Linked DNA regions of Drosophila melanogaster. The protein of the gene in region 2 interacts with the protein of the main gene of each other region in a pairwise test. Each region holds a gene or a part of one and is shown on either strand. Other genes may lie near its edges.

Region 1 (6,355 bases), 300 kb from region 2:
GTTTTCAACGGCAACTGATAGCACGTAAATAGCATACACACGGAAAATGTATATAGAAGAGAGAGCGGAGTGGAAGAGAGTCCAAGTCCAGATGGGGAGCATAAGCTGCAGACATATGGCTCCAAAACTAAGAGGGAGCCACATATGAAGAGCGGAGGAGAGTGGTCAGGCTTACCGATGAAAATGCCATCGTTAAATGCTTCACTGTGAGAACATTTTAAACAATAAGTATGATGTGAAATGGTCCATGAGAATACGAGTTATACTAACTAAGAGTCTAAAATCAAAACATTTATTGTGATTTTTATTGCCAACCTCTTAAAATCGAGGGAGGCTCGTCTCTAGCAGTTTATTTCACATTGAGCTTATCAATAGCAAGATAAGCCCAAGAGTACTACTTATTAGTTTCTGTATTCACTGGGAAAATACAAGTGGCTAAAGCGACTGCGACTTGTCATTGCTTCGACCTTAGGTTGTATATTATTCCGAATATTATTAATTCGCATGTTTACCAAGTTGAGCATAACTCAATACACACTCGAAATTTATATAAAAAAATACATATTATTAACAAGCATATGTACATATGCCATTTAATCGCCAGAATAGAATTGGAATATGCTTCGTTGACGTCAAGAAAAGTCTTAACAGTCCAAAGTATGAAACTAAAAATGATAACTTCTCTCAACAAATAGATCCATGAGTTTTGATGACTGCAAAGGTATCTACATGTATATAAGCATATGGAACTCCATTCCCTCCAAGACTCATTCTTAATCGGGTAAACTATTAATATTTTTTCGAGAGCATTCCTGCTAACCCGTAATTACCAATCAATTTGAAACATTTAACTTTTACCTCCTCACTCTATTCCGCACTTGACAATGGGTGTCTCACTAAAATGGCTGTCTGAAAACCCGCAATTATTTTGCCATTGTTAAGTGCATTTCCATCCACCCCGATTCAATCCAATCCCACCCGCTTCCGCCCGCCCACTTGGGCGGCAGGACATGCGCAGGGCGTGGCAGTCGCCAACCCCATACATCAGTATTCCCGCTGCTTAACCATATTAGTTGCTACTTTGTGTTGTCAATTGGATTTGATTGCCCGGCGAGGGGGCGGGCATCAAGCTACACCACCCACCCACCCAGTAACACTTCTCCAGCATTCGCGTAATTCGCTCCGTTCCGTTTATTGTAAGCACTATGTTCTGGATAAGAAGTCGCAGGGAACTAATGTATCTTAAAATGGAAGTTCTCGAATACAATCACTAAATTTGATTAGTTATTAGACTTAATACATGACTAGAAAACTCGTTCAAGAACTCGTTGGTATTTACACGGCTTTTCGATTCAATTCAAATATGTATCTGGGGGGAAATACAACTATAATTATAGCAAAATAAATATGTTTCTTTTGGACAAGATCAAAACAGCTAGAGTAGCTGGATGGTATCTGTTATAATCAATCAATTAATTCAATGGTGAAACTGATGGGTAAGTTTCCACAATTATAAGGAACTATAGTTCGTACTAAATCGTAATAATAGATATTTTCAAAATGGTATAACCATGCTCGCGCTGATAATATATGTGTTGTTTTGTAACTTCTGTGCTTGTCTAATAGAAAAGTCATTTAGTAAAAGAAACTGATATTTTTTGATTTGAAAATCTCTTTTAGTTGTATTTCCCCCAACTGAAACACCGAAAACTTTACTACTTTAGGATCCAGGTCCACATCCCGATCGAACTGTCTATGTTAACTGGTAGAGTTTCGCATCGCCGACGATGTCCACGTCGCTGGAGTTGTCCTCGTCGCCACTGTCCGCCTCCAGATCGGAGTAGTCATCCGTGGAGTAACCCTGCTGCATCAGGCACATCTGCAGCTGCTGCTCGCTCGTCGGCTGAGTGGGTGTGCCGCCGACAGATCCGGGATTCAGTTTGCCGTGCTTGGAGTCCCCGGATGAGGAGGTGGCCTCGCCCGGCTGCTTGCCCGGTTCGCTGCGTGAGAAGTCGACGGGCTCTGCGGCATGGAAGAGTCAAAGAAATTTCCACAAAATTTAGAACTAATTTGATTTGCGTTGAAACTTGAGCAAAACTTTTTGCATCACAAGGAGCCGGCTAAAAGCCAAAAGGTCTAATTGATAGTCCAAAAGTTCCTCAAAGAAACTACTCACTCCAGTGGTCTAGTTTTTGGTGCTTTGTGACCAATTTGAAAACCGCTGACCACTCCTGCTCGAAATGCCTTTTGACAATTTAATTGCTAACTCAAATATTGCATTGTCTAAAAGCTGGAAAACTTGAGCAACTCTTTTTCGCTCTAGTTGTTCTTAACAGCCCAGAAAAGGTTTGAATATTAAATAACTTGATTTGAGTATTATAAATTTCGTAATATTTAATTTGCTCATAATAAATTTGTGATTATGAAATCAATATACTCACCATTGGCATTGTCGCGCCGGCGCAGCTGCTTTTTGTGCTTCATGCGGCGGTTCTGGAACCAGGTCTTCACCTGCGTCTCGCTGAGTCCCAAGGCGGTGGCCAGCTCCACACGCTCCGGCGTGGACAGGTATCGCTGTCCCTCGAACCGCTTTTCCAGACCGGACAGCTGCGGATCACTGAACACCGTGCGAGCCTTCCTCCGGCGGCAGTGGCGCAGGGCATTCACGCCCATTCCCAGTCCGAGGGCCAGTTCCGGCACACAGCCAGGCGCTCCGAAGAAGGGCGCTCCCCCGAACAGGCTGGCTGAAAGGGCAAAGGATGCAAAATTTGGTTAACTTCGTTATAGTTGGAACAAATGAAAACTTTCGGTGTTGATGGCCATTTACACCGAATATTTCGAGTTTTAGTGCCCCTAAATGAAGCTATGTGGCAACAAAAAACTGCACTTCAACATCAGTTGTCCTACTAATTTGGGTTTCATTTTGAAAAAGTTCTAAATGTGAAATTAAATGTTGTGCTGGCTTTTTAATGAGAATATGTCCAACTTCATTTTCGATTAGCTAAACTCTAGCTAGAATTGACTTTTAATTTCTATGAGTTCGACTTTAACTTATTACCAACATGTTTGTATGTACCAGTACAAATCAGAATCATCTAGGAGGATATCTCTGTAATATCGAGCATTAACTCACCTTGTGATAGAAAATAGGGATCCACGGACTTGTAGGTGCCCGACGACGGCGAGAGATATCCGAGGGTCATTTGAAGAAATCCGTGATCGGTGTAGGGTGCATTCGGATAGAGTACTCCATTGGATGCACCACTACCTCCATTCAGGGGCGGCGGAGGCGGAGGTTGAGGTTGAGTCGTGGGCACCGGCGGATGTTGTGCTGCTCCAGATCCCAACTGCTGCGAAATCTGATCTCCGTTGTAGTGGGAAGTTCCGTGTCGCGAGTGGTGGTTGGACCTACGAAGCAAGTGGTTCAATTAGGGGTCTATTGGTATTTCGATGTTAAACTATTCTCTTTATGTCCAATAGTGATTTTTATGCTAATATGCTTAAATACAAATATATATTCCCAGATACATTAAGCTTTATGGTAAGCCTGATTTCTATGTTTCCAAAATATCATTTTTCTTACAAAAAATATTCTATAATTTAAAAGAACATAATCCAAAGTAAGATTTTAAAGGTGTATGCTATTCCAAAATATTTGTCTTCAAGAAGGTGTGACTATCTATCGTATTTGATGTTTCATGTTTACTTCTTATTCTTTTATAAATTCACTTTGTTAATATTATCTTATTTTTTATTTATTTTTTTTTTATTTTAATTACTTTTTTTCACTTTTCTATGCAATTATATTGGCTTAAAATTAAAGTTTTTTAAACTAAAATTTCACTGCAGTAGTATTAGGCCTTGGAATTCGGAAACCAACCGTGGAGTGCTGTGCATGGACTTGCCGTAATCCTCGCCAGCGTAACCCGACGCAGCCTGGTTGCTGCGGGCAGTAGCCGTCGCGGATGCGGATGCGGACGCCGGCGGATGTGACTGCGGCGGATGCGAATGTTGCGACGGATGTTTGTGCGGATTATTGTCGTGGGCAAATGCGCTTCTGGCACTTTTCACCGCGTTTCTGCTGCTCTTTGGCGCGTAGTTGTTGGTGTTTGCGGCGATGCCGTTGGTATCACTACTATTATTGTTATTGCTGGCACTATTTAAGTTTTGAAACAATATGTGCTCGATGGAAAACGGCGTTTTTGTGGTCAGCATTGTGGTGGCACTGGCCATCGCCGCCGCCTTGCTGTGCGTGGGCGTGGTGGCGTTGGCATGAGCATGTGCGTCCGCAGGACTCAAGCTGGCCTCATTAAGCATTGCCATTGCGCTGGAGGATGGCCGAGCAGGAGGAGCACGAGGAGCAGTGATGGAGACCGGAGCCAGGAGATGTGCCAGCCAGCCGGGATATATACGTGTCCTTGGACCGCGCGCGCGCTTATGTTGTTTGCTCGTTGACGGTCGCGTTGAGTTTGCGGCAATCACCGCACATCAACCAGCAAATTGCTCTAAACGAGCTGCCAGCAGACATGTGCGAGCGAGCCGGCGATATGGTCCTGCATCCTGCGAAAAGGGGAAAATCGAAGGGGGGGAAAAAATGCGAGCGCAGGCAGTGCCACCCCCTCCTCAATCCGGCTGCAGTTGGCCCGCTTTGCGGTGCCCGCTTAGAGCGGCAATATTCGGGGAATCCCCGTAAGCGGGCACATGAACACACCCCTCGATTTGCATGCGCATAGGGTTGTCCTGCTCTGGCAGGATTTTGAGCACCCATCTCTCTGCTGGCATCCACTGGACATGCGATTAGTGCGGAAAAACCTTAGTTTAATTGACCCCCGTTAGCCGCAAATAAGTTGCACAACTATGCGTCCTTGCTCTGCCGCCATTTTGCGAGGCAGGCACATCCTGCCACGTCCCCAGCCGCCCATTTGGCACCCACTTGTCATAATTAACGTGTCACGGCCGCCATTGTTGGCTGTCTGGCTGATGATGTGCGTGCATTAAATGCCACAATTATTATAATTGAATTAAACAATCGATTCTGCTGCTGTGACAGGATAATTGCTAGGTGGAGCCAGCGCAACTGTACCCGCTGGGTTGGGGCCAAGCATTCGCCTGCTTTGCATTCAGATATTTTTTCCCCGCGCGGTTAATTGAATCAGAGCCCCACATAGCCGTACACCACCCACCAAGGACACCCGGCCCCCTCCGCACCCAACCAAGTGACACCATCGAAAAAGGGGGCGTGCCTCCTTTCCAGCAAGCCACCAATCGGCGAAGAGCTCGCCGAGGGGTTGCTTTCGCAACTATACTCGTCCTGTTTCGTCCTGTTGCTTTGAGAATCAGTCTTTCCTCACAGCGGAAAGTCCTTAATTCCTTCAGAGAGAGGGAAATATGGGGGGGGGGGGTCTCCACAAACAGAGCAGGAAGGAAGGACAATAACGAGACATCGCCGAGAGAGAAAAAGCATATGACGACGATGCGACCAAAAAGCAAGACAAATTTGCTCGTTTTATTAATAAAATAAGTCACGCAAACTAAGTCGAACGTCATTATTAGGTTAAAGCCCTAAAATGGGCGCATTAGGATGGCATTCGAGTGATCGCGGTGATGGTTGGGTCTGCTTGGGGATGTGCTGCCCTGTTCCTGGGCAAAAATATCTCAGCTTCTCTAAGGACATTGGGGGGTTATGGGGTTTGTGTTAACGAATAAAAATATTTAATTGTATTTAAAAGATATTAGAATAATAGTACTTAAAAGTGATAACCTAATTTCAGAAGTGCTCTACCAATTTTAAAATTATTAAATTAAAAAGATATAAGATTCATAGTTCCTAAAAAGACAACGTTTTTCTTTTAATATCTATTTTATAATATTCTTTTCATTTTCTATAAATCTATTTTATGAAATCCCATCTAAATTAAATTTTAATTTAAGGGTTGTATACCTTAATAATAAATATATTTATTATTATTATTTATTATTTATTATAAATATATTTATTATTACATATATGAGAAATAAAAACTGATATTTATCTTAGAGAAAGAATATTAATAGAATAAAATATCTCGAGACTATAGTTACATATAGTTTAGAGCTCCATAGAAGTGGAAAGCTGGAAAAAGGTATCCCAGCCAGAGATGAGCACTTCTCTCACCTGGCCGAAAGCTCTTAACTGGCTGCTCCGCCTCCACATCCACCTCCTCCTCCATGGACTACTCTTCGGTGTCATCCATTGTTAACCCGCTGACATGAACGTGCCAAAGGGCCTTTGTGAGGACATATATTTTGTTCAGTTCTTTTTGAGTCTGCTCGGTGGCGTGTCTACCTTGCGTTTTTTATTGATTTTTCTCGCTAG
Region 2 (6,907 bases):
TCCGAAACTTCCTGCTGGCCGAGAATTAAGCTAGAAAAAAAATAAGTAAAGGGCAAAAGAAATCAAAGAAAAATGTCCACTTGATGGCGATCGCCATCACTTGGGCCAAAACAAAAAACCCGAATTTCATCAAAAATACTTGCGCAACTCTTCGATCGAGTGGTTTCGTCTGGTTACATAAGCTCCTAAGAGATTTGGGTTCTTGGTAGGGCAGGAAACTCATATAATCAAAATAAAAATAACAAATTCAGATTCTGAAAAAAGCGTAGCGAGGCGACACCGCAAAAGTGAATCGAAATTGAAATGAAAATAAACAGGCCAAAGGAAACGATTTTTATTAGGGATTTATTACGGTTTGAAAATGCAGATATGTAGATACGGCCCTCTGATTATTGCCGAATTACGCCGCCCCAACTGAATGCTGGACTGCTCCAAAGTTCCAACACCGCCCCCTCCCCCTCCTAGGGGCTGATGCTGATCTCCTCCATGTGGACGATTGTAACCCAATGCTGCACTTCAGCTGGAGCTCCTACTACTCCAGAGCTCCTGCATGCGCCGTTACGCGACCGAAGTTTGTTGACATAACTTATCGAAGTCCAGAGGGATCGGGATCGAAGTGTTTATTTTGATTCTTAAACTGTTGCCCGCGGGGGTCGTCGTCGCTGGAAGCCCATTTATCCATGCCGACAGACCACACAGAAGATGCCACTTCTCGGAAAACGGCGAGATGAAACCCAAAATCTATGATGCAAGCTGAGACCCACTCGGTGGTTTCTAAAACCCAGATATGAATATGAATGTGGCATGGGGACAAAATAGAATACAATTTGAATACTATGAAAAACTGAGCATTCTATATTTTTACGATCTTCAATGTTTAAACTATCAAGCATCCAAAGAAACGAACGTAACTCTCAGTTCATGAGCATTCAATGAATCTTTTAATCCGTATCAATGTTTACAGTTGCACTGAAACTGAAATCTAACGTTTACTAGTTAGATTGCAAACCTTTTGGCTGGCAGGGAAGCGCCCAAGAAAGAACGCACATAGGATTATTCATTAATTTAGATTTATTTATTACTAAATTGTTTTATGCACACTTATCAACTACTCACAATTGTTTTTAGTTTGTAATTAATCTTTAATTTTCCGGCTCAGTATTCGCGTGTGTTTCTTCTAGTTCCACAAAGACAGAAATCTGAATGCATTCAAAAAATCTTAAATTTACATCTTTTCATCTTTATACGTAAGTGTGTGGGTGTATGTACATTATTTTCGATCATCATTTTCAGTGCTCATTAAATTGTATAGGACTTTGTTAGTTTGTTAGTTTACTTCAGTTGAGTTTGTTCTTCGCTTCGATCCAGTTTCACTTTATACATCGGTTCTTCCAGCTTGCGGTGTTTTAACTTAATACAACCTTTAGTTTTATTAGATGTATTGCTACTGAAGGATTGGAATTTTTGCGGGCGGTGTGGCTAAAACGGAAACGGCAGGGGAAGCACGGCCTCTAGAACAACTATCGCATCTATGATATTATAATTCGCTTCTGTTTCGCTTAATACTAGTAGGGAAACTAAGGCTAGAACTAATCAACAAATAAGCGTGTGTTACTAACTCGTACTTTGTAATAATTTAGCGATTGATAATCAGAAGCCGCTAGTTAATTTACCTTTTTGTTTTTGTTCCTTGGGTTTATACAATGTTTGTCCTTTATACATACGAGTTCCAATTAGTTTTATTTATAATCGATCTTTGCCTTAGTCAAACTGATAATCAGCAAAAGTTCCATCCAAACACGCTCTCTCTCTCTCTCTCGCACTTTACTTTCTATCTCATCTATCTCAATCTCTGTCGATCACTTTCCAAGTTCTCAAACTGATATTCATCGGAATTTATTGTCGCAATCAGAATAATGGCAAATTAAACGCTTAAAAACCCCTTTAATAAATTTCATAGTAACATAGCTAAACAGAATTCTGCGGAAACCGCCTAATTTTTCAGCATTATTGATTAAATGGAAATGTTTTTAAATTAATGAGGGAATAAATATCAACAGTGGTGGTAATGGGAATGCACTTCTCTTGAAAATCCAACCTAGTTACTAAATTATTTTTAAGAATACACAAAAATAGGGACAAACTTACAATAACGCGTGGTATAACACAAATCATTTTGAATGTATAACAAACAGAATTTGAATTCTGACATCTAACCCCTTGGAAACGCTTTAACAAACTCTTTTTGGAAAACATGTTCTTTCGAGTGGAGACTATTTGGAAAACATTCTTGGAATCAAACCAATTTACCTTATACATTGTGTCTAGGAAAAGCTCTTGGAAATGATCAACTCTTTGTGAAAGTACCTTAAACACGGAACGCTCTCTACTTAGTTGACCAGCTGCTGGGGATTCCACTGTGGACCCCGATGCTGGAGATGAAGTTGCTGGGGGTGCTGCTGCTGCTGCTGCGAGGAGGAGGATGAGGATGCGGAGGAGCCGCTGGCCACCGCCAGCTGGCGTCAGAGGTAGAATTCCGGAGAGCTTTGGCTATCGCCGCCGGCGGTTGCACCTCCCGCACCGACTCCGCCATTTGCCGCCCGCTGCAGACGCTGCATGAGGGCATCCCGCTCCTGGCAGACCCTCGAGTACTCCAGCTTCAGGCGGTGCAGATCCTGGTTGAGCACCCGGTTGGCCTTCTCCAGTTCGTGGCGCTGATGGAGTCGCTTGGACCGGCAGTTCTGGGCATAGCCGCGATTCTTCAGGGTGCGTCGCTTCTGCTTCAGACGCACTACCTCCTCCCGTGGGCAACCATGGAGCCGCTTGTTCAGCTCCCGCACCGTCAACGTGGTCAGCATGTCGTCATTGAGGCAATCCTCCAGCGTGGCATTACTGTAGGCACCCGAACAGGTTCTGGGCGACATGTTGTTCGAGGATCTGGTCGAGCTGGCGGAGAGCGGGCGGCACGGCTGAAGGGCAGCCCGTGTGATGACGCAGGAGCCGCCACCCACGCTGCCGGGTCCACCACTCCCGCTTCCACTGCCTCCTCCGCCTCCGCTGCTGCCACTCCCGTTGCTGGGCACTTGGGGCAGACAGGTGGGCGTCAGGGCACCCGAAGCACTACCGTACGAGTTCGAGTGCATGTTGATGGGCGTCAGTTCCAGATTGTGGAAGTGGTGGTGATGGTGGTGCGGATACTTGCTCTGCTGCAGCATCACCTGGTGGGGATGACCGCCGTGTCCATGCGGATGATGCTGCGCCTGCATCAGCGGCTGTCCGTGATGGTGGTGATGAGCTGCCGCCGCCTGCAGGGCGTAGTCCCGCTGTCTGTCCCACTCCTCCGCCTCCTCCTGGGAGCCCGGATAGGGCAAAGGCCGCAGATCCAGCGGCTGCTGGTCCGCCCGTATCGAGTTGGTCAGCCACATCATGTCATGGCTCAGTCCGGCACTCACCGATGCTGCTCCGGCGGAGGCAGCAGCTGCGGCGGCGGCGGAGGCGGATACGGATACGGAGCTGCCCGGTGTCCTCGCATAGTGGTGTGCGTAAGTCTGAGCCGGACAGCTGCTGCTGCCCGTGGGCGAGCCCACTACTGGTGGCGTTTCCGGCGGCGTTGAGGGCACTCCGCCCGGAACGCCCGCTCCCGAAGATGTGTTCACCAGAATCGCCTGTCCGGGCAGCGGACCATACTGCTCTGGTGGCGGAGAGAGCGGTTGCAGGCGCCGTTCGTCCATGTGCCACTGGTGATGGCCGGAGAAGGACCTCAGCTTGATGTGCGGCGATGGCGAGACCTCCACTGCTCCGGCGGGCTCTGGTCCGGACAGCGGCAGCGAGTCCGGGTCATCGTCCGGATTCGTGGGATCGCCGTGGATTGTCGTCCATTTAACCGCCACCGGCTGCGGTGGACTGTGATCCTCGCGCTTCACATGGCCCAAAGTCGTGACCTGGGACGCGGCACCGGCTCCATGCGATTGGCCAGCTCCATTTCCGCCCACCTCCAGGTGGTGCAGATCAAACTCCTGAACGTACGTGTCGTTTATGGTGGGATCTTCCATTTTCATTGGATCGACCAGGGACCGGAGAGGGTCGATTACGGGTCTCACATGCAAGGGAGTGACCGTGCTGATTGGTGGGTGGTGGTTAGTGGGTGGTTTCAAAGGTCAACTACGCGATCGGGGGTCACGGAACCAGGCACTGGCGCTTTCGGCCTGCGGCTAAGTTTTATCTTGATCTCAGGATTTAGGTTACGTTTTTTTTTGGGGTTACCCCAGAATCTGTTAGATATTTACTTCGATGCCGGTTTCTTAGATTTCGTTGTAAAAGATTGGATTGCTTATTTATGATTTAAAATGTAAGTATGCTTTTATTAAAGCGATCACTATCCGCACTTTGGCGCTTAATTCATTTGTAAGCTCGCTCTCTTTCCAATTTTGCTCACTAATTTCGCGAACGCGCTTTTCGCGTCCAATGTGAAAGAGTTAACGGTGGCGACTGAACTCCGTGTCCGTTTCAACTAAGGTCGGACTGAATCTGACTGGAGGGTGGCTCTGCTCTGGAAGCTCTGCTCTGGATGCTCTGTTCCCTTGATGATAACTGTTAGAATGGCAGCGCAGCGCGCGCACACCCACACACACACACCCATTCCTTTTCCCAACAGCCGACAAACAAAACGACTTGCCAAAACCAAAAAGCCGACCAGCCCAACAACAAACAAAACCGAGCTCGAACGCCATTCGCTGATGCTTTTGCTTTTGGTGCGAGGGAACTCCTGTTGGAAACGTGGAAATGACGGTTCTAGAGGAAGGAAAGAGGCGAAAGGGCGGGGAGGCACTTGTCCGCAAGAGAGAGAGAGTGCCTTTCGTTGTAGTTGTAGTTGTTGTTTGTGCTTTTGCCGGCAGCTGCTGCTCTCGCGCACAACAACAACAAAAGTCAAGCCGGGAAAGCTTCGTAGATTCGATGCACTGCACAGTGGGATAAAAAATTGCAAATATAAAATAATTTCATTCGTACATTTTGACAAGTTTAAGTTGTCTAAATCAAATACAATATTTTATAGCTAAAGGACTAACTTTGAACTTTGAAAAAGCGATTATATTTTGATCTGCTTTAAATGTTACAACACTTGAATATCTATACAAAATTCTATTAATTTCACGTTCTTTTTTAAGTATTTTAAAGAAATTTAGACCTTTTCGTGGAAATTCAATCAATTCTTAGCTAAAATCGCTTCCCTTGACTAACAATCATTCTGGTCAAAGAACATTACTTCACCAATAACAAATATGTTGATGTTGTTAACAGTCTAAAAAAGCGACTTAACAAGCCAGAAAATTGACTGCATTGCCTTATAATTGGACATGGAAAAACATATTTTATGCATTATGCTATATACATTATTATATACTATATACATTATTAAATTTTATATATACTGATGAGCTATTTAATGTTTAAATTTCGGAACATGTAGCACGTAAGTAATGTTTCAGTAAGCCCTTGATACCCAATACCTCGACCACTGTGCAAGAGCACAAATCTATGCTCTGGGATTTCACTTTGTTGGTGGTGGAATGGAACCGTTGGTGTGGCTGCTCTGCTGCTCGGTTTATTGTTTGCGTTTTTGAATTGCCATGGAGCGCATAAAAAATGGCACACATAGACACACAGACACACTTTATGCTGTCGTCGACTCCGCCCACTTTGCCACTGTGTGCGCGTGTGTGTGTCGGTGTGGCTCTCCCCATCTGCGAGTGTGTTGGTGTCTGAATATTTATGAGCAACTACCACGGAAATTCCCGCATAGCCCCATTTGCCGACTTCCAGTCTCATTTGGCTGGCCATCCACACGAAGTCGGTGATGGAGGTGGAGATGGATGTGCCCATATGTACATACATACATATGTATATCCACATAGGAAAGTATATGCAGGAGTGGGTCGCACAAGCACAGGCACATCCATATCCACGTCCACATCCACGTCCACTGTTCCATTTTCCAGTGCATAAGTCAATGGGAGATGTTTTAGCCGAGATAAGTCGCTCGATTTGTTTTGGCTCGTATATAATACACTGCCCACTCCATGGGCATGTGTGTGTTTGCTTGGGCCAAAGGATTCCATGGTGCACAGGTGCATTTTTATGCTGATCCAGCGGAAACGGAGTACAGAACTTAGGAGCCTCCGACGGCCCAACTTGGACACGGGGCGCTCTTGTTTTACTTTAATTTGAACCCCTTTTTTCTGACTTTTTGTTTTGAGCAAATGTTTTGTCTTCGCTGGCCAAACAGATTGCTCTGATGTAATATTGTTGTGGGATATCGAAAGGCTTCTGCTTTGTTTGTGCAACAAGTTCTGGTTCGCCAGGAGGGGTGGGCAGTATGTGGAAATGTGGGCTAGCAATGCCAATCCACCTTTCCTATTACCAAATTTAAAATTTGAATATTTTTTGGTTAAATATGCGACATAAGATCTGAGGTACTTAAAACCACAAAGATAGGGATCTCAAGAAGGCTAGCATATGTAAAGCTATTTTAAACGATTTCTTCCATTATAAATAATTAAATTCAACAGAATATTTAGAGCGTTGTTTAAAATTTGATTCACTGCGCTTAATAATATTTTTGTAATTTTCTTCCGTAATAATATTCAGCAAACAATAATTTTCAGTAACATTAAGGCTATAGCTACATATTCGGGAAAATATATATTATTCTATTACCCACATTTTTATAAATATTTATTTATTTAGTTTTGGGATTTCTCGTTTAAACTTTTTCTATTCACCAGTGAAGCGTTTCAATGAACTCCTTCCCAAGAGAACTATTCCGTATTTGGTTAGCTTGCGAGCCGCAAAAGTGACCACAAAACTTTGTTCCACTTGCTGCGACAACTGGGCCTTGTAGTCAAATCCT

The links.
Region 1: the proteins of tj (region 2) and bsh interact in a two-hybrid assay, tested with the Drosophila melanogaster proteins (one large-scale study listed by BioGRID).

What each region holds. Positions count from the first base shown.
Region 1 is NT_033779.5:19,764,607-19,770,961, forward strand, and holds bsh (brain-specific homeobox), read right to left. Parts: upstream 4,462-6,355; 5' UTR 4,324-4,461; coding exon 3,881-4,323; intron 3,409-3,880; coding exon 3,134-3,408; intron 2,745-3,133; coding exon 2,442-2,744; intron 2,023-2,441; coding exon 1,754-2,022; 3' UTR 1,170-1,753; downstream 1-1,169. UniProt on the Drosophila melanogaster protein: DNA binding protein that function as transcriptional activator. May play a role in the determination and function of cell types in the brain.
Region 2 is NT_033779.5:19,461,907-19,468,813, reverse strand, and holds tj (traffic jam), read right to left. Parts: upstream 4,548-6,907; 5' UTR 4,059-4,547; coding exon 2,523-4,058; coding exon of another isoform or gene 2,391-2,522; 3' UTR 1,056-2,390; downstream 1-1,055.